Linked DNA regions of Oreochromis niloticus. The protein of the gene in region 2 binds, or shares a complex with, the protein of the main gene of each other region. Links are inferred from orthologs where the notes say so. Each region holds a gene or a part of one and is shown on either strand. Other genes may lie near its edges.

Region 1 (10,863 bases), on a different chromosome or scaffold from region 2:
CCCCCCTTGACACGTGTGCATGCTGATTACAGAAAAGTTATCTGTCAATATAGGTAAAACCTGTTGTACATATATGAAAAAAACTAATCAGCTTGTGATTGTGTGTATAACATACCATATCCATGATGAGAAGAGTCTCAGCACAGACTATAACCTGGAATGGTTCCTAGGGTGATCAGTAAAGAACAGCTTAGAATAATTGATGACTACTTTGGAGAAAGGATCCTCTTAGTTTATGGAACAAAAAAAATGAAGAAAATATAATATAAGGTATATCTAATAATCCAGTCACCTACTATTTTCTTAACTCCTTATCCAACATAGGCTGGGCTGAAGTATATTCCAGTTGACATAGGGCAAGAGGCAATGAGCACCCTGGAGAGTCTGCCAGTCCATCACAGGGCCAACAACAGACACACTGACATCACACTGAATTTAGCTTTGCCCACCTAACCTGGGATGTGTGCTTTCAATTGGAGCAAAGGCACCATTAGAAGTCCTGTGGTGGTATTCATGTGGATGTAATTTTGACATGTACCACCCATTTACTGCAGATTAAGCATTCCCCATCCCCATGAAAATGGCACTTCCTCATTAGTCTACCCCAGTTGGACTAATTACATTGAAAAATCTCCTGAAGAATTTCTCAAGAAACAAGACAAATAGTCTAGTATCCATTCTGTATCTGCAAGATGCAACAGAACAAGCCTGATCAATGGAGGCCACGACAACTACAGACACATCCAGGATTTTTCAGGGGTTTTTTTTTTTTAAAAGTGGTGTGGTTAGTCAGTGTATCGGTGAAAAATCTTGATAAGAATGATCACTGACCTTTATATCCTCTTCAAAAGATCTGCAGGGAATCAGCTGGAAGGGGTCAAAAGAGCTGGTGGATAGAGTGGCATTATAAACATCCACATCATAAACCTCCTTGTGTTTATAATTTGGTACATTTTGCATCAGTCCACTGTGCTCACCCTCGGTATCTGGACATTTTGTAAGGTTTAGGCTGCTTCTTCATCTCCTCTCTCCGTAGAGCTAATTCTTCTGCACTTAGATGCTGATAAAGAAAAAACACAGAATCGGTAAACATCATTAGTAACAATCTATGTCGTAATTTGATTAAAAGTTGTTGTGCAGTGTCCATACCTCATATGTCTGTCCCTCCAAGTCTTTAGCATCACACCAGTTCCCCCAAATGTCCCGCACACGCCGCTTCCTGGTTCGCTACAACCAGTCAGAAGTTACAAGTCAAGTTCTGGCATGCTTAAAATTTAAATGCTTCCAGTGTCAGCGTCTATTGCTTTATGGGTACCTACCATGCTCTGCAGCCTCTGGGCGAGCTGATAGGCCTCCAGTACATCTTTGCCTTCCTTATGCTTGGAGCGGTCCATCACCTTTGGACGATTGTACACAGCTTGCTCTACAAAAAGGAAGTCAGAGCTTTAACATCAAAAAGAAGATAAAAATTCACAGATCAGAAGACCAAAACCAGATGCTGTAAAAGATTCAGAGACACAGACTTACCGCAGTTGAAGTTGATTGCTCCAATGAGTTCCAGATAGGTGTGTATTCTCCCAATGCAGTTGACATCTCCACAGTTCTTTAGACCAGGGCGGACCGATGTCTTGTTTAGGTACTTAGGCTTGCTCTTCAACCTAGTGGACAAAAACAGTAATAACCACTTTCTGTGCAAAGTTGTGTAAACAAAGATATCGAACATGTATGCTTAGTTTACCATTGATCCAGGATATAGTTTCTAATCTTCAGATATCTTTCAGGGGTTTTTGATGGTCGCCCCTCAAAGAACTCTGGGATAGCCTGCTTCTCATCCTCGGTGATGGTCTCTGTGTCCATCTCTATTTCTTGTTCAGGGGCCTTCAGCTCCTCCTCTTCATCATCTTCATTCTCCTCCTCCTCCTGGTCTTTGTATGGTCTATCATTTAGATTCTTCTCAAACTTGTCAGCAGAATCTAGGAGATCAAAATGTGTGTTATTAATTTGTCCTATGACTGTGAGGTAAATACACAAAACACAGTAAGTGTGAAGCACCCATTCCATCACTGTAGGCTTCTTCCAGTTGAGCAATCCCTGCTGAAAACATCTCCTTTGAGTCTGTATGAGGTGGTGTCTGACAGCTTTGTGGAAATACCGATGCCGTCTTGTTGACCTTCTCATCTTGCTCTGTTACTCCAGGATCTTCTGAGCAACCAGGGAAAGATGAGGGTTGAAGACTTTGTGGAGAAAGAGAGCTGTGGCTGGGTTTCTCCTTCGTCTCCTGGATGCTCTCTACCCCACTCAAACTTACATGTTCTTCTGTGGGGCTTTGACTCCCAGAGTCTGTTTTCTCCTCAGGCCCACAGTCACTGCTGAGGACTGCTTGCAGTTTATTGCCTTCTTCATCATCACTCATGTCGTCAGTGATGTCTACATCCTCATCCTCATCGTCAGAAAGCTTCTCTATGCGGACAGCGTTGGCAAGAGTAGACACTTGACTGGAGGTGGGCTGAGGAGGTTGTAGGTGTATTATGGGAGCTACAGAGGGAGCCGCAGGACCAGGTTCTGATTTTGCCTGAAAAATGTGTATACGAAAGTCTCTTTATTCTTTACTTTTATTTTCCAACATACCATTGCTAAGGACTCATTCTGGTTGCATATGAGCATATGTAGTTGGACTAAATTGCAGGTTTATATCTGCGGATGACTACAATTAAGCTTACATAACAGAAATCTGTCTTGTGCTGTTAGTATAATCCAGGTGGACTTATGTTTACCTTATGTTTAAAATACTGCCTGGCGTAACTCTTGACTTGAAGAACGGTACGGCTTTCCATAAGCTTAGCAATCTTAGTCCACCTTCGACCAAACCGAGCCTGTAGAACAACACACCTCAGCAACTTAACAATTTGAACAATACACACAATCTGACTCACTTAAAACAATTATTGAATCCATTAAAGGCCGACCTTCCCAAACAGAAATGATATTTCAGACACAAAAGTTAACTTGCAGAGGAAGCATACCAGGCCTTCCTCAAACAGTTCTTTCTCCTGTTGGGACCATCGAGAGGCTGAACCAGAAGACGAAGCCAGGTTCTTGGCCGGAGACCTAAATGTCCACACATAGAGGGGTTCATGAATACCAAGCAAATGAGGAATCAGTGTAGTGCGATCATGGTGAAGGCTGATGGAAGAAATCACTCACTTTTTCACTTTGGGGTTTTTGTGAGCATCACTGTGCCAAATGTGGTCAGGAATCTCCTTACCTGTCAGGTAATATCTTCAATTATAGTTAAGGACAACTGATTTCATAACCAGCAACAAAACTAGTATTTAAACTATCTAAATCTATGTAACTACTGGTTGAAACTATGTTGAGATGTTTTCGGTTACTCGTGCACTAACAGGACAAGTGAACATAACATATAACACATTACCCCACTATAATTCCATTTACTAGGTCAAGCGTTACTTTTTTTTTTTCTTTTAATTTGTCATCTGTCTGTATATTTAAATTACCCACAGCATGGGCTAATATTAGCTATTAGCTCCCAGCTGCGTCCTGTGATTCCTGTAGTTAACCTCAATGCATCACTGTGTGGTGCGTTTAAAGGCAGAAAAAGGATACTGTTCCTCTAGCAGCATCCTCTCTATCACCTCTCTGTTCTCCGGGCTGATGGAGCTGTCCAGCTCCCAGGGCTGTACAAACGAGAGACGGAGAGTCAACACGAGCACCCGACGCAGGTAGAAAAACAACTGAGCTTGAAGAAGTCATACCAATATCCAGGCGCTGCTCTTCCCCGTAGGCTGCATGAACTGCTCCTGCACCAAACCTCCTCCGTCCATCTCCCTAAAACAGCGAGGAAAGAAGCTGTGATCAGCAGAGCAGACGTACACCATCCAGCCGCCTACAGAGCTAATCCCAGCTGCTGTTATCCTGCCTGCGCCAACATCCGGGTCACCGCTAACTCGCGTAGACCACAGCACAGAAGCCCACCAAACAGCACAGCCATCAATTAATCCAAATAAGCAGGCGTTATTACCCAATATTGTTATCAAAGTCATCTCCTTCAATGTCAACATCCACCTCGTCCTCCATGTTACTCGATAAACGTAAACAGCTGAGAGAAAACAGAGAAGGCGCGCTGAAGGAGAACAGAGGGCAGTGTGACTCACAGCGACACCCTGTGGCTGGATGTCGTTTAATACGTTTAATGTTGCTTTACTGCCACCTTCTGGTTTAAATTCACCTTAAAGTGGGCTTATTATGCTTTTTTATTATTATTTATATTGGACGCTTATAATAAAACCTTGTTAGCCTAAGGTTCAGGCTTCAGAGTGCTCTAAATGCGCTTATTTCTTCTCTTGGATCTATATGATGTCATATGTCATGTCATGAGACCTTTTACAGGATATCATGAGCACAACAGCCCCAACTACCCACTCTTAAACCTTCTGTTTAATAGCGGCAGCAAGTCAGCCTAAAGGGAAGCTGTCCCTGCAGTAAGAGGGGGTAAAAATGGCTCATTTTAGACCGCGAATCATTGTGATGCTCGCCGCAAGATAAATAAGTAAATAAATAATAATTAGCATAAGATGTGCACTTTAATGTTCAGTTTTATTAGACTTCTAATTCATCAAATTAAAACATATACTGCTATTACATATGTAATATTATATATTTTATTGATAGATTTCTTCCCCCAACGTAATATAGCTGGATAGTGATTTCCTAGAAACTCATAGGAATGAGTAGGCATAAAAGCCTGGGGAGGGTTTGAAAGTCAGTGAAAAAAGAAAACAGCTTTAAATATGAGGATTCCTTTTAAAACTTACATTCATTGTCTACTAGAGGTTTAGAATCCTTTCAGATGCAGCATATCCACATTTGGTGATATCTACAGCATTTTGATATGACCGAATCTGTTTCCCTTCCCTTGAGATACTGTGCTAGACCTTTACCACAACCACCTTATTCCTTCTTCATGGATCTTCACTGACTTGGACTATGCCATTTGCCTTGAGACGGTTTTGAGTTATTATCCATTAGCACTATAAAGCTGTCTGATCGGTTTTTGCATAATTTTGCTGAATCTGAGGAGAGAGTATAGCCCCGTGCTACTTTTGTCAGCAGTCACATCAATAAACTAATGATCCACTTAATGTGGCAGCTATACACACCCATGCCACAGCATTGCCCCCACCATGTTTGACAGATGATGCAGTATCCTTTGTCATGTGGTGTTCCTTACCTTCGCCACATTTTGCTCTGTAACCAGTGGTTTACAGCGTTTTATAAACCCTCTGTATTTGCATTTTTGAAAGTTTCTCTTAATTGTAGATTGAGGATAAGCCTCTCTCTTTGAGGGTGTTCCTGATTTGGTTAGATATTGTGAAGGGTTTTTCTTGGTGTTGCTGAGCTGGACAGCGTATTCATTCTTTTTAAGAATGCGCCAGATTGTTGATGTGGTCGCTCCTGATACTCATTTTATCATAAAAGAACAAAGCAACAGGTGTCATATGGCCATTAATTGCTTTTTAAGTCAACTGTCAAATTACTTTTAAAACTGAGGATGGGGTTCTATGAATGAAGCATGTGTATATACCCAAATCTGTATACTGCTATCACTACTTCTCTTTATTAAAATGTTTCCTGCCTAGGGACAACAGACGTAAAATAGCAGTTATGCTAAAATCTGTTTAAATCTCATAGTTCTTTACCAACATCCATCAAATGAGAAAATGAAACGACACCAATGAAAGACAAAGAAACAAAAACATTTTATTTAGAAAGAATTCACAGTTTCTAATGGCACTACAGTTTTTTGTAGTAACTCACTCCTGCTCAAAAATACTGTGCAGCTCTTCAGAGTACTCACAGAGACAAAGAGAGGGCGAGAGAGAGAGAGAGAAGGTAGCACTTGACATAAAGGGTAGAAAAACAAAAAGGCATAAGGAGTCATACAAAGTGCACACTGAGCGTTTAGAATTTCTCTCAAAGTGCTTTCTTGTTGTTTGCCGTGTTATGTGTTTAAATCGATTTAAAGTAGTCTTTTTCATAACACAGACACACACACACACGAGACAAGAAAAAAATAATCTCACATGCGTACAGGTTTACACACAAACATATTACACATTCAAACAGGGATTTAAAAAAAAAACAAAACAAAACAAAAAAAACCCTCTGGATTTGCTCCGCTCCTGGAACATAAGTAATCACATTAATAGTGTTCTGAATTGGATTAATCTTTACTGCGTTCCCTTTTATTCAGCAACAATTAATTTCTTCCTCAAAAACCACTGCTGTCATTCGATGTGGGGCAAACACGTGACATCAAAGAGCAATGACAAGCGAATAAAAGACGTAAAAGGAGTGTACGGCCAGAGTAAGAATGCACAAGAAAAAAAAAGCTAGACAGAAAAGCAGGCAAGCAGAATGAACAAGCATTTGAAGCTAATAGGAACATGGTAGAATGGTTTATCAAAGCAGGCATATTTAAAGTTTTCTTCACAGTCACAGACAGAAGTCGTGCACAAGGGGTCAGAGGTGACATTTCTGGATAAAGATATGTAAGGAAAGAAGAGCAGTAGAAGCTGGTCAGAACAGGTAATGACACTCTTATGGGATGGTAGCATTAGAAGAAAATTCTGTCTGTCAAGATGTCCAACGCCAACCATGCAGAACCTTTATGAAATTGCATAAATAGAGAGGGGGATAAAAAAAAAAAACCCTATTAAATTTATTCTTTAAAAGCAAACAAAAACAAATATGCTCCTGTCAAATCTGCAACTTCCTGCAGTGTTTTTGCTGAATTGTTATATTGAATATACATTAACAAAACAGCCAGGGTAACATAAAATCAGTTAGCCAATCCAGCAGAGATGCTGAAACGCAAAGAAGACAGCACAGTACTACAGTCATCATTATAGCCTCTTTTCTTCCTAAATAAAGCATCTCCAACTTTCCAGCAGCTCTGAACACACACAGAAGCAGCAGCGTGTTCCTAACATACATGTAACCTCTAACTGTTATTCTGTTGGATATAAAATGCGATTGCTGTCCGATATTTCAGGCTGAGCTGAGTACAATTAGAAGTTGTTATAAGGTAAGATAAAACGAAAGAAAGCAAATGTGTTTGAGCCATCCACCATGACTGTATGTGTCAGTACCACTGAGTAATAATTCTATGTAACAAACTTGCATTGAGCCACTGTGACGCTGCAAGACTGGGAGACTGGCAAACCAGCAACTAGGTTAGAAAATTCTCTGTTCATTTAAATAAATAAATAGATAAATAAAGCTGATCTGTCAGACCCATCTGCAAGGTCCACGAGAGGGTGTGCGTGTGTGTAAACATTCAGCTCCGTTATCCAAGGTTACCCTACAGTAAACTGTGCCCTTAACAGGAAACACTTAGCCCCATACTGGCTCTGACAGCAACTCAAACAAGCCGAACCAGCAATGCTAAGAGAAACATGGCTCAGTTACAAATGAAAGAACTGTAAAAGTAATGAAACAATTATATTACAGCTTCTTGCCTCTGAGCTGTTTTATCAGTTACAAAATCTAATGTGACAGCGTTTTTGGGCCCAGCCCAAACTAACTGAGCAGGGTCTACAGGAGCTGGACTGCTGCTACTGTATTTGTTTTATGAAGTTAAATGAGACACTTAAAAAAAGAAAAGAAAAGGGCTAAGACATTCATGTAGACTTTTCTTCATTCAGCTCTCGTGGTTGGTTTGGAACAAACTGACAGAGACAGAAGGCGAGAACGAGACTGTTTTACCCACTGGTCCCAAACAAACACCTGCAGTCATTTCGAGACTAAGGCAGGATGGACAAGGTTAAATGATGGCAAAGAAAGACAGGAGGAAATAAGGATAAGAGAAGTCATTTGTCATGCTCCACAGTCCTCTTTATAATGACATATTTCATCCCAAAGAGCAGCCTAATACTTTTCAAGGAACACAGAGTTGAGACCAGCACCTCTCCTCACTGTGCTCAGAGTGGGGAAATGAATTCACTGGTGCTCCACTTTCATGGGTCAAATGTGCTTATCCAGTAGAAAAATGAAAATAAAATAAAATCTCTCAAACACACATCAATAGTTTTGACTCTTCTTGGTGTTTCACTTCCTATCACAGTGTCTTTTTGTGCACATCAACAACTGTTTAAATTTCATGTTTTTAAGAGTTAGAAGGTCTAGAACAGATATAAAGGCACATAACCGTAAACGGGTCTTTGACAGGAGTGAATAAGAACTGAATGACGTCGAGCTACTGCTGCCATAGCCAATTCAGTTCCACGGTGCGCCTGGGTGCTCATGGGAAATGTGGTTCTTTGGGATGTGGTAAGACCTCTTCTGTCTGTCATGTCTGCTACCGTGTAGTGTGTGCACAGGTGTGAGCAGATAATCGTGTAAAGGTGACGCGTGAGGATTCAGACATGTCCGGTGACGGCTGTCACCCCGATGGTCCCGACACTCATCTCCTTGTTTCCCTTCATAAGCTGCTGCAGGCTGGGCAGAGAACCAACGCTCCCCGCTGGCATGTGCGGGAACTGCAGCTCGGTCTGTCGAGACTTCCGCCGCTTCGTTGAGCGCTTCTCCTGACGGGACTTAGCAACCGGCTGGCTGAGGGGAAAGAAAGCCCGTGGCCGTTGCACACGCCATCAGCGGGGAAGACGGGAGAGGGAGGGGGGAGCCGGCTAGCGTACGACTCCTCAGAATGGGTGGACGAGCTGCAGCTGCTAGTCTCTGAGGGGAACTCCTTGGAGGCACGACGGGGCAATAATGGGCCCTCCTGGGGTGTTGAAGGGGAGGAGGCAAGGGAGGAGGAGGGGGAGGAGGAGGAGGAGGAAGAGGAAGGGGGCGTGTTGAGGATGGTGGCGCAGGGAGACACGGGTGAAAGCCGTTACACTTGGGATCCCTGTTAGTGAGGAGAGCAGAAGGATCGAATGCCTTCAGAGTCTCAACTTTGTCCAAAGACTTTGTCTTGCAGCGTTTTTTCTGCAAGGTAAACATAAGAGATGGAGAAATTATTTAAGAAAGTTCAGCAGCAAACTAAACATCTAATAATGTTAAGTCACAAACAATAGCCGGAGGAAGGTGGGAAAGTTCAAAAGGGAATGATGGAATTTAAAAATGAGGGGGAAAAACAAAAACACATTACTCAATCTGCTTCTCTAAAAATATTAAAAACTTGAGGCGAATAAAGCTGGCAGTGTACAAACAAATACACACACACACTGCAAGCCAAAAAGTTGCTAAGGGGCATTTCGCTAATTCTTTTCACTGCTCAGCTGATACCTCATCTCATTTACTCCACAAAATAAGGAATTCCCTTTTCTAAAACAGACGTATTAGAAAGACTCATTGAGACTACAAAAACACACAGTACTTGTATACGATGGCCATCACAGCCAACAGACACTGTACCTTTTTCTCTGGAGAAAACCTTAGAGGTTCTACAATGTACAAGTCATCTGGACCTACTGGGGAGGGGAGAAAGGGGCTAGGTTAATGATGGAATGGGATACAGGAATACATACATGTAATAAGCATGAAGCGACCTTGCAAGTAGTTTTACAGATGAAAAGGCATAAATCCATATTGTAGTAATAGCTTGTTGTCAAAACAAGATTTAGCACAATAATTGAGGCTGAAATCATAGAAAAGCAGGTGTTGTTTTTATTAAGGAATACTACTTGCAAATGTCTACCATGAGCCAGCAAAGCATTGTGCTCTATTATTACACTCCTTATGCCTGCATGTGGCAAGCTGGCAATGACAGCCTCCCACCCTCAAGGGCAAACTCTCTCTCACACATACGCATGCACGTCATTAGGGGGTAATGAACAGCAGAGGGAGTTTAAGGTTTCAAGAGCTGATACTTTCATTGCTTGCACCAGCCTTTCCCTGTGGGCGCGTGTTGCTTTAGGCGGTGGCAACAAGAGGGATATCAGTCACTAAACCTGGCAACATTTCTTAAAAGCAACAGCAGAGGTACAAAGAGTGAGCGATGGAGAGAATGAAGCAAGGCTAAGTAGTGTTTGGATGGGGAGAGTTATGTGGCAATAGACGCAGTGATCAAAAGCAGTTAGCCTGAAAGTGCCTAAAGGCAAGATTAGATGAGGTTTGCAGCGTGACTGTAGTTTCAGATCTCAATGCTGCTTATGTTTCAGTTGGAAAATCAAAGGGAGGAAAGATATGGGTAAAACAAAAGTGTGTTGGAGGAGAGATTTTTGAAAAGTGAATGGGCACGTAGGAAGAAGACCTCTTACCTTCTGTAGAGGACAGGTGAAACGACTTGGAGCGAACAAGCGGGCAGGTCACCCTGCGCTTCAGGCTCATGTCATCGTAAGAGGAGAAGCATCTGATAAGGGGGGGAAAATGACTGACATTTACAAGATGCCACATTCATTCCTTGATTGTCAATCTTTCTACAGTTAGTAGCAGGGCGGGAATGACAGCAACTGACAGACAACAGCTTCAGTATTCAGTCTAATAGGAAAACACTGAACAACACTTAACAAATGTCATAGCAAAGCTTCAGAAATACAATATCCTATTCATGCATGTGGGTGACAAACCTCTTGGGGCTGGGGTAGTGGTTGCTCTTGGGAAGAGCAGTAGAGTTGGTGCTGGGGCTGGGGGCCGAGCTGCGGCAGCACTGCAGACACAGCAGGATCCCCAGAAATAGACACAGAACCAGAGAGACCACCAGGTAGCTCTGACGGTCCGATACCTGCAGAGGACGAGTTCAGCAGTCAACAGTGAAACAATGCACAACACATCACAAACATTCAACAGCTACGTCGACTTATGATACAGTGAGTGGTCCTTTCCCCAGTTGTGATGTTT
Region 2 (10,955 bases):
ACATGGTGGTTAGCGATGGGCTGAGAGCGGTTTCCTGCGAGCAGGTACCTGGAATAGGCGTTCATGAGCGTGGAGGCGGTCCTCCTCTTTGCTGCTCCGCGCTCCAGGATCTGGTAGACTTCGTCTTTGTTGTGCACCGTCACCTCCTCCAGACCCTTCACCACCACGCCGCGCTGCGGAGGCAAACACAGACACGTCAGATTCCCGGAGGTTTTCGCAGCGGGCGTTCGTTTCGTCCGAGCTGTGTGACGCTCACCTTGTTGCGAGGGTCGTCGAAGAGCTGCAGCCGCTCGCTGACGTCCTCGGTGGGGCTGAGGAGGTCAAACAGCTCCTCGTTGTAGATCTCCAGCAGCGAGACTTTGACGGAGAACTCGGTGCCGTTCTCGGAAAGCTTTTCAAAGATCTGATGCAGCGTGCGAGGGATGATGCCGGCCAGCGGGTCCTAGAGACGCAAAAACACGGGAATTTATTTCAGCGCTGACCATTATTCCACAATAATTAACATTTATTTAAGCGCACGTGCACAAACAGAGCTGTGGTGACGTTTGTCACCCTCGTTCGTTGCCAATTGTGAAACTTGTAAATAAAACATGTTTTATTTTGGTTATTTGACACATTAACACATCTGAACTGACGATAAAAAGCTGGCTGCATGTACGCAGTATCCAATAACATCCCCCCTCAAAAGTACAGCTGACTGGTACTGCATACTACCCCTCTGCAGGCTTCCAGAAACTGGCCAATAAGATGAACGAGGGCTTGTAAAGGATGAGCTGAAGGCCTGTACGGAGACCCAGCACAAGACAAAGGAGGATTATTACTAACTATGAATCAAGCAAAGCTGCTCTAGTGCAGCCTGAGGCTAAAATGAGCAGCAGGTCTGAGCAGCTACTGATGATCTGAAAACAAGACGTCCAACATCCACGTGCATAAAAACGGACACGGGGAATTATTTAAAGCCAATTCATGCACATTCAGGATGGATGCAGTCAGACTGATCACAAAACTCTGAATTTTAAAACCTGAAAATGTTTATTAATGTTAGATAGTCAAGATGTTTCCCCTTCCTATACTTCGTACACGCTGCTGCAGGATCAGTTCATTCACACTCTGTGGTTCGGCTGAATTAGATCCACATGCAGGGTTTGGGTCATACAGTAAACCAGTGAGCCCACTTCAAAGCCGAGCTCACCTCCTCCCAGGTGAACTGCTCGTCCGGGCTCCTCTCTCCCTCCATGGTGAACGTCTTTCCTGTTCCCGTCTGACCGTAGCTGTCATCAATAAAGAAAAAAAAAAAAAAAAAGATGGAAACAAAAGAGATTACAAACCGGTTCATCCGGGACGGCTCACGCCGACGCTCGCATATCTGCGCAGCACTCACGCAAACACGGTGCAGTTGTATCCCATGATGACCTCGTCCAGGATGGGACAGACGACGCTCCGGTACACTTCGATCTGCTTCGCAGACGGACCGAACACCTGAGGGAGAGAAACGCTTCGGTCAGAACAAATAAATAGAAATGACCGTGAGCTCATCGCTGGACCAACAGCAGGACACACAGCTGCAGCAATGAGCCAATCCTCATCGAGAGACACTAAGAGCCGCTTCTGATTTGAACGCAAGTTTTGTTACTTCACCTTAAGAACGGACTAAAGTTTCCTGGACTCTAATTGTGGGGTTTCAGTTTTTTAGTCTGACACAACAAGTCAGCTATGTAAGTATAAGCCAGATGTGCGAGCACAGGATGCGCCGTGTCCATTTCTCCTCTCACCATGTCGAACGTGTAGGTCTTCCGTGACGCCTTGTCGTTCATGCCTCCCGTCCTCACCATCACCTCTTTCCGGTTTTGATCGCAGTCGATGACGCCGTAGGACGACTTGCGCTCCATCGTGTTGAAAGGCCTGAAAACGCAGCAGAGGAAAACCTCGGTGACAAAGACTCGACGCCTGAGACATCTGCAGCTCTGCAGACATAATAATGAAGCTTTAACATCAGCTCGGGCGCACACGGTCCTGTTTTTAAAGATCACAGCGCGCCGACACCAAAGCTTTGACTTTGGCTCAGATTAAAATCACGGTTTGAGTTTCTGCTTCTTTCTGTCAGAGCAACGTTCATTTATTTTTTTGAAAAAGGTCCCATAATAAAGATTTACTGCTTATTATAATTAAAATACACACAGGGTTTGTGCACATACTCTGAGCTACATATGAAGACTTCTAAAAACACATTAATGCTCGTTTAGGTTCAGATAACTAAAGAACACAGACTTAAGTATACACAGATCAATGATGCTCATCCTCTGAGGCCTCAGAAAACCAGACTACATAAAGGAAATCCATATAACATTGTGAGCTTATCATGAACAACGAACCAGACGATGGACAGCAGAAGGAACAGATGAATTAACCGATTTAGCACAAATATGGGATTTAAATTAGATCAGCGTCTGCAGGCCTCAAAACATCTTTAAGACGTTTCTAAATATCATCTTAGACTCAAAATCAATAGTTTTTCCAACCCAGCAGACACTGATGCACTGAGTGGATGAAAGACGGTAAATTCAATATTTCTGACCTAAAGTTTTAGTGCAGAGTTCCTGTGCCGTGTTCTGAGCCTCCGCCACAGACTCGCCTGCACGGGTACGGGAAGATCAAACCGCGATTATGACGTTACGGACGCTTATCTCACTCAGTGTCGGTTTCAGAGCTGGTACACCGCAAACCAAAAATCCAGAGATAATCAGTTTCAGAAACTAAAAACATCGAAGCTTCTTTAAAGCTCCTCTATCTGAGCCATCAGTTTATTATCTACCCGAACCATTTCAAGCCAACTTTCTTCTGACTGGCTGCCCCTCAACTTGGTGGGCGGGGCTTCTGTACTCTGTGACATCATAGAGAGATGGTAAATGGTAAATGGCCTGCATTTGTATAGCGCTTTTCTAGTCCATAGGACCCCAAAGCGCTTTACACTACATTCAGTCATTCACCCAGTCACACACACATTCACACACTGGCGAACTAACGAGCTAACGGTACCAAAAAAAAAAAAAAAAAAAAATGTTGTGAAGCTGAGTGTTTAGTGCCAACAGAGGGGCTGATGGATTACCAATTTTCTTTTCACACTAATAATTGTTAAATGGAAACACGTGGAAGACGACTCCAGTAATCGGATCGGGACTACAAACCCATGTTTGTGTCCAACGACACAGACAGTCACACAAATCTAAACTTTCAGGGATCAATTAACAGCCAATAAAACTTAGAGAGCTAGAAAATAGCGAACAGCATCCAAAACACCCAAAACCTATTTAGTCCGATGTTAGTGCTCAGTGTTTGACATGTGCTTGAAATATTTGCATCTAGACAAGCGGGGGCGTGTCTTTGCTCCACCTGCTGGGTTTTTAAAAACTTATTACACCTTTATTCTGCCAAACCGATGTGTAAGTGAGAAAAGAGAAGGATGGTTTTATACTCATTTTTTTCACCTTGGGTTTTAAACCTGTTAATACAGGTTGAAGTACAATTAAACTGGAATGAACAGGCTTTCACTCAGTCGTGGAAATTCATCCCGAATGCTAAAAATGATAAATTACCAAGAGGTAAAACACACGCTTTAAGGTCTCTTCTAGGAAAATGATGAATAACTTAAAGATCAAATACATGAGCACTGGGATACTGAGAGACTCAAACATGTGAGGCTAGTATGATGGTTATGATTGGATGTCCCATTTCCATGCTTTTCCTGTATTTTTATAATCATTTTGCATTTCTCTGTGGTTGTGCAGGTATTTTTGCATCATTTGTGTGCACATTTCTGGATTGACTAACATTTTAACACTTTAACATTTTAACACACCCATAAACATAGAAGAAAGTAAAACAGAAAGACTCAGATTTTATTGACAAATTAGGCGCCACATGGGTTAGGGTTCCCTCAGAGGGTCAAATAGTAACTTTAAGACTGCAAGAACTGCTGATTTTTCCACAAGTAAGCTCAGGGTAGTGTTCTCATTTAGTTTCTGAGACTGTAAAATGTCAGTGACCTCTTTTTTGAGACATCTGCAAGTAAAATTTTAGCCTTTTTAAGGTCTCTTCCAGGTAAATACACCCACTGAGGGCAGTTGAACCAGTGAACATACAGCTTTAAGGTGGATTTGGTGCTGTTCCTGCACTTTTTGCGATGTTTTGAGGATATTTACGATATCTGGAGTATGTTTGTGACTGACAGCAGCAAACACAGACACAGCTGAAACTCTGTTTAACTCCTTACCTGCATCTGACCACCACCTGGATGTTCCTGCCCTTCTCCTCCCGTTTCCCTCCGCTCTGGACGTTTGAAGACATGGCTCCGAGCTGCTCCCGGACACCGTTATATCACGCACTTCAGATTAAACGGCACATAAATGAAGCAGCACAGTCATCAATACAGAAATAAACAGCAGGGAGGCGGTTTGTCCGCTTTAAATGTGACGAGCCGAAAGAAAAGCGACAAATAGCATCATAATGTTAGCTAACGAGAACTTACCAAATATCGGTTTGCGCGTCACTTCCTCCCCCGCTGCGGGTTATCCGATTATAAATCCAAAGTCTTCGATATCTTAATAAATCGTGTAATTCAGCGTTTACGGGCTGCTCTGACAGCACAGGCCGTTTTCCTACAGCTTCTCTGGCGCACTAAAACCTCCGACAGGACACTTTTCAAACTGTACTTTTAAATTTTCATCGGCCAATAGCAGGAGAGTAACGGTCACTACGTGACCGTCATTGGGTACCACGATCATGTGACACTGCCATCGCAGAGCATCACGGGAGCAGATGTGATATAAATATCGATGTACGTCCAGCAGGTGGCGACATTGTTCTGAGAAATATTTAATTAAACGAAAACAAACATGATTTTTATTTATAATTATAAACAACTATTAGAGATAATAACGTATTTTTATGTTCCCAAATAAATAATTAGACTTTTACATAAGATTTTTGATACTTGATTCGTGTTTCTTTCAATTAATTAAAAAAGGCTGAGTTTCATATGGTTAAGCCTGGAAGTGACCCGAATGATGCTGGCGGCTTCCCATGATGCACTGAGTGTTTCTTCATGCGGTCATTTTTGAACGTCTTTGAGGTTGTTTGTCTCTTTTAGGCTCTTTGACTATTTTCTTCTGTTTATTTTTCACGTTTTTCGTTGGAATTAAGTATCTCTTAATGATTGTTGTGTTCCTTTCCTTAATCAGAGACTTATCATGACCTTTGCACTTTCTCCCCTTTCATGTCGCTTGGATTTCTGGCACTTTTTGTTGACTTAACAAGATCTTTTTATGACTCTGTGTCACTTTTATGTTGTTTTTATGTGTTTGATTTTAATCTTTTTGTTCACCTATGTCATTCTCATCTCTTTGTGTTCTGTGGCTCTTTTTGCTCATTTTGCATCTTTTGTGTGTTTATATTCATTTTGTTCCCTCAGTTTTGCTTCTTTGTGGACATCGTGTGTTCACTGTGCAAAGGTGTTGGTCTCTATGGTTATTTAACCTAACATCACGTCTTTGGTCTGTGGGAGGAAAACCGACCACGTGAATGACTCGATCGTTGCATTGAATATTTTGATGTGTTTCATTATTTAAGTAGCATTAAAAATTTCAAGCTAAATAAAAGTCCAAAGACACCATAAATCACTTTGTGAAACAAAATGATCCTTTAACTTATTATCATTATTATCATTATTCATGTGTTTGTGTCTTTTGTGGGGACTGTGCATTATTTTTTTGACTGTTTCAGGTGATTTTATGACTCTCTGAGTGCTTTTTGTCATTTCTCTTCATCTTTAACGTTTCCTTCTAAGGAACCTTTTGATTATCTCATGCTCAAATGTACTTAAAAATCATAATAAGTGCTTCATAACATATGGTAACACACACAAATGGTTTTAAATCAGACTAGAATGCGTAGAAAAGAGAAAGAAAGAGAAGAAATAATCCAAAAACATGATGTCACTGATAGACTTCACTCTCCGCCTCCGTTCCAGGTTCATGAAGTGACGGCAGGCGAGCAGCAATCCATCTGCTGAGGACCATCCGCCCACTCGGCCTCCTGAGGACAGCGAGGGGGTTGCCCTTTTTGCTCTGGAAACCTCTTCATTGCACACACAGACACACACAGCTTCCCTTTGTCTGATATCTTACAGTACATCCAACTCACAGCGCTGTTGGAGGTCCTCGTTGCTGCTCCGGTCGGACTCTGCAGCACCTCTCGCTTCATTTTTCACTTCAGCAGCTGCAGAGTGTAACCAGAGACTCGTTTATTTGGACTAATAGTCACAATCCTGCTACTTTAGAGAAGCTTTATTGAGCCATCTAGGCATGGACGACTATCGTGACTATAAGTCTGCCTACATCCTCATGCAAAGCACGGCGAGTTTGGTCATTTCAGCTCCTTTAAATCTCTGCTTCTCTGTTCTCAGCACAAGTTAAACATCTCTAAGACTCAAACACTCTTTAAAGAAAGTAAAAATCATCTGACCTAAAGAGCTTTGTCCCTGCTTTTGTTGAAGAGAACAGTCCAACTCAGATTGGAGTTCATTGTCGTGGAGACTGTCTCCAATGATTTTTCTGCTTGTCTGATCAGACACTCTTAGCTGTACATGTTAGAAACATGTTGGCTGTAATCCATAACCAGAAACCTTTTTTCCTGCACAGGAGAAGTTAAACGGTGCAGGTCTGGTGGTGCTGAAGAGCTGCACAGGGCACAGGTACCAGCACAAGGTGACAAAAAACTTTTTTAGGTGGACGAGTGAGTCAAGCGCCAAGGAACACAGCACTAGATCTACAACAACAGCACAGAGGAGGAAGCAGCGAACAGCAGGCGAGAACCATCAGGTCAAGTCAGAGAAACGAAGCCAAACTCACCCAGGACACAAAAGAAAACTGACCTTCAAAGTAAAACAGGAAACAACCAAAAGAGACCAAACACAAGCATGAAAACTAAGACAGTAACACAGATACGACACGGGGGGGGGAGGCACAAACTCGAGACACTGATCATCATCTGGACAGGAAAGTCCACCAGAGCCTGAAATTCCACAATATCACCAAAAACCTCAAACAGTGAAATCAGAACCATAATCGAAACTCCACAGCAAAACACCGAAAACCAAAATGACCAGAAGATTTACAGTCTTACACATTTCCTGTACTCCAGGATTTTAAAAGCAGTAACACTGCACATGACAGCAAACAAGTCAGGGACCTGAGAATGTGCCAATGGTACTCTGTGTGCACTGTAAAAGCTGCAAACGCTAATGAGTTGCATCACCTTAGGTAAGAAGTTCAGTCGTACATTTCTTAATTTTAAGATTTCTGCTCATGTATTTAAGGTGAAGACATTTAAATTAATACATCTGAACAAACTTGGTTCTAAGAAATTAAAAACATACAAGTTTTTTGATACTCAAAAATCTTTTGCAATGTTGCCATAATTTTTTAACTCATTAAACACTGTGCAGTTTTTTTGTGGAAATTTTTAAAGTTTTTCATATCAAGATTTGTCAACATTTTCTCTAACCAAAATTACCGTCTCCATAAAGTCAGCAGACGATAAGTGTACGTCCTAAAAATCTGTTTTTCTATCGTCTAAGCAGAAGCAGCTCCGGATATTTCAGCTGTGCTAAAATCAAGCAGTGAGCTAAAAATGAAACTATTATTCTATATCTAATATATTAAACACAGATGAGGACATTCAAAGAAACATTTCCCCAAACCAGCCGAGTAAAAACATCAAAGGCACATTAGCTAACATTAGCTAATTAGCTAACATTAGCTAATCTAGAAGACAAAGGTCTGTAAGTTTCTCTAACTTTAATCATATTTCATATATATTTGGTAATAATTTTGATTTAAATTATTATGGAGATGAATAAGCACAAGATAATGGGGAATTTCATTTGACTACAAAGTCATATTTTAGTTTAATATTGATTGTTAAGTAGAAGTAGAGGCTTTAACTAGCTGCAGGCTAATTCCTGTGACTTCAAGCCTAGAAATAAATGTTTGCTTGTTTGTCTTCACTTTGTGGATTATATGACGTGCACGAGGACACGTGTGACGTGACTACCAGAGAGTGTTTTCTAGGGGACAGCTAACATATCACAAAATGTGCAGTTACTCATCTGAAAAATTGTTGGGTGTGGTTAACCACTTCCTGTGTTGAAACAATAAAAAGTATCAAAACACATAGCTCACTGCAGAACATAATAATAACATAATACGTATTATCGGATTACGTTGTGCTCCAGGTGAACATACAAGTTAAACTGTCACAAAACCAAAACAGGTGTGGACATGAGTATCTTCCCACATGTTCGCATGCGCATGCGATGTCATGACGCACAAATTTGTGTGATTATGCAACTATGTGTACATTACCAGAACACCCCAATTTTCCCATTTTTTTAAAATTGAAAATGATGCAGTTTAATGTCTCATTGCACTCTGAAATTAAAGGATTGTACAAATAAGCAATTGAGTTAAAAAAGATATCATAGAATCAATTTATGGACCAACATGTGTTCTAAACTTCTGACTCATTCATGTAGCCACCTTAGGCAGCTGAACACACCCATAAAATTATTTCTACAATAGAAATAAAATATTCTTCAGAAAATTCTTCCCATATCTGTTGCACAAGTTCCTGTAAACGTTGACACCTGTCGGTTGCTTTTACTTTTCTGTCCAGTTCATCCCAAACCAGCTCGATGGGGTTTAACCTAAGACCCAAACTCTTTCATGGCATTTTTAATTTCTCTTTGCTATTTGGGCTGATTGGGACCTGATGAATGCAAAAACAAAGAATAACCTGATAATTTTATTTGTTTACCTGATTTTTGTTTTTGACAAAAATGAGATCCAGGACATTTGTTTTAAATAGAACAGAGGCAGTTTAATGTCCTCGTAAGTGGATATCAAGCTCTTGTAGAGTAAAATTCAGTATTTTGGTCCAGACAACCCAAAATGTGATGTCCACATATGTGGACGCCAGGTCCTAGAAGGTTAAATCTGGAGACTGTGCTGGACATTCCATGTTTACAAGCTCACCATCTTCTACTTTTTCCTGAGGCAGTTCTGGCACAGCCTGGACTTGTGTGTTGGGTCATTATCTTGCTGTTGGATGAACCCCTCACCAACTAGGTCCATACTAGAGATGGCACGATACCACTTTTTTATGTCCGATACCGATACCATAAATTTGGTATTATGGTATCATATCGGTATTGGCGATATGAATCCAATATAGTGTATTTTTTAATCAATAAAACTGTTTTTTTAATATCTTGCTGTTTTTGAATAAGTTCATACTCAAGTTAAAAAACAAAACAAAATACTAAAGCTATTCTGTTATACCTGTATGCAAAAAATACACAGCATCCAAATATTTCATAGTTCAGCAATACTGATCAATCTAATAAACTTAAACCTGCACCATCCTTCCTATTCTGGTATTCTAAAGAGTACTTAGCAGAAATATTAAGCAACCTAACTAATAGGGTTGCAAACTCCCAGCAAAAAAAAAAAAAAAAAAATAGGGAATCACCCTCCACCTCATGATGCTTAATCGACGTAATCAACTTTAATTTGATGCAGTGTGAAAAAAAATACACAGAAATCAATGATTTTTCAAGAATAATTAAATAGATTCAACATCTTTCTTCAACAGAATTGCAGAATTCACAGATGGTACCTTCCCAAAGGAAAAAGTACTATAGCTTACTAGGGTATATTAGACTTAATAGTTACTATATACAGTAATGGACTTCTATACATTTTACATCAGATTAAAACTTTGGGTGTAAGGTTCAGATAATTATTTATTAAAAGCTAGACATTTTAAATGAGAATAAGAAAGAAAAGTATGTCTTTGTGCCCCCTTTTCCCTGTTCATGCCCTATCGGCCCCCCTGGCTACACTTTGCTAGATCCGCCCCTGCACAGGTACGTCAGCTACGTAGAAAAGGATCCTGGTGTAGAAAGTAATATTAAATACATTCTAACAACAGCTTATCAAGCTTAAACGTGCTGCTGTTGTTTCCTCTTTCTGGCGTGAAGTGGGCCAAAAACAAACAAGAGAGACGGACTGGCGACAGAAAAGCCGATCAGCTGATCATTGATCAGTTTCATGATTGAAGTAGCAACAAGAGAGGGAGAGAGAGAGAGAGAGGCAGTCGCTCCATATATCGGTTGTTAAGCTTAACATGGGAACGCTTTACAAACATTCAGAGATGAACTTACACACTTGCTTTACTTCTCTCTGGGATAACTTCCTCGGAGATGAAATGCTGGTTTGGTAGCGAGGCTACAAATACACACAGCCGCTCTATCACGTGAGCACACTGCTCCGACGTGCTACGGTTATGAGGCGAGTTACGCCGTGTCGCAAGTTTTCTGAGGTGCTTTTTTGATATTTAATGGATCGATTACATTTTGTATTTCTCTCCGATATCCGATCCAGTAATTTACGTCAGTATCGGACCGATACCCATACGTAATATCGGATCGGTCCATCTCTAGTCCATACCAGAGAGTATACACACTTCTTGGACCACATAACACTCTCCTCTCTCTTCCAACACTGGCACTATTCTGTATTATACTGTTCGACTCTGAGTATTGTATTTATTCTGTGTAATATTGTATTTATTTATTCTCATTCTTTTCTATTCAAGTGCAATACTCTTGTACTTATTCTTAGTTTATCTTATTTCTGTATAGTTGTACAAATGTATATTTTAATTTTTTCATTTTATTGTTACAGTTTGCACCTTTGATCCAGGAGGACGATATTTCATCCCACTGCATACGTGAGTCAATATTGTTGGGTTAATAATAAATACTTGACTACTGCATGGTACTGCAGGATGCTGTGGTAGCTGGTTTGGTTCATGGTGTCTCTCACTGTGTACAAGTC

Evidence for each region.
Region 1: kif11 (region 2) and mysm1 share a complex: the UniProt entries of both Homo sapiens proteins name them as parts of the large chromatin remodeling complex. The link is inferred for Oreochromis niloticus from reciprocal best matches to the Homo sapiens genes KIF11 and MYSM1.

The regions. Positions count from the first base shown.
Region 1 is NC_031986.2:38,664,970-38,675,832, forward strand, and holds the start of mysm1 (histone H2A deubiquitinase MYSM1), read right to left. Parts: upstream 4,166-10,863; 5' UTR 4,099-4,165; coding exon 4,043-4,098; intron 3,850-4,042; coding exon 3,777-3,849; intron 3,699-3,776; coding exon 3,628-3,698; intron 3,280-3,627; coding exon 3,205-3,279; intron 3,109-3,204; coding exon 3,024-3,108; intron 2,874-3,023; coding exon 2,775-2,873; intron 2,573-2,774; coding exon 2,053-2,572; intron 1,974-2,052; coding exon 1,739-1,973; intron 1,659-1,738; coding exon 1,528-1,658; intron 1,424-1,527; coding exon 1,320-1,423; intron 1,228-1,319; coding exon 1,150-1,227; intron 1,061-1,149; coding exon 978-1,060; intron 887-977; coding exon 832-886; intron 167-831; coding exon 116-166; intron 23-115; coding exon 1-22. Other genes in the region: suco (SUN domain-containing ossification factor), read right to left, coding at 8,620-9,009, 9,439-9,494, 10,284-10,375, 10,593-10,747. UniProt on the Homo sapiens protein: Metalloprotease with deubiquitinase activity that plays important regulator roles in hematopoietic stem cell function, blood cell production and immune response.
Region 2 is NC_031978.2:1,174,081-1,185,035, forward strand, and holds the start of kif11 (kinesin-like protein KIF11), read right to left. Parts: upstream 4,725-10,955; 5' UTR 4,526-4,724; intron 4,382-4,525; exon of another isoform or gene 4,354-4,381; 5' UTR 4,345-4,353; coding exon 4,271-4,344; intron 1,903-4,270; coding exon 1,773-1,902; intron 1,480-1,772; coding exon 1,382-1,479; intron 1,272-1,381; coding exon 1,193-1,271; intron 443-1,192; coding exon 257-442; intron 174-256; coding exon 49-173; intron 1-48. UniProt on the Homo sapiens protein: Motor protein required for establishing a bipolar spindle and thus contributing to chromosome congression during mitosis. Required in non-mitotic cells for transport of secretory proteins from the Golgi complex to the cell surface.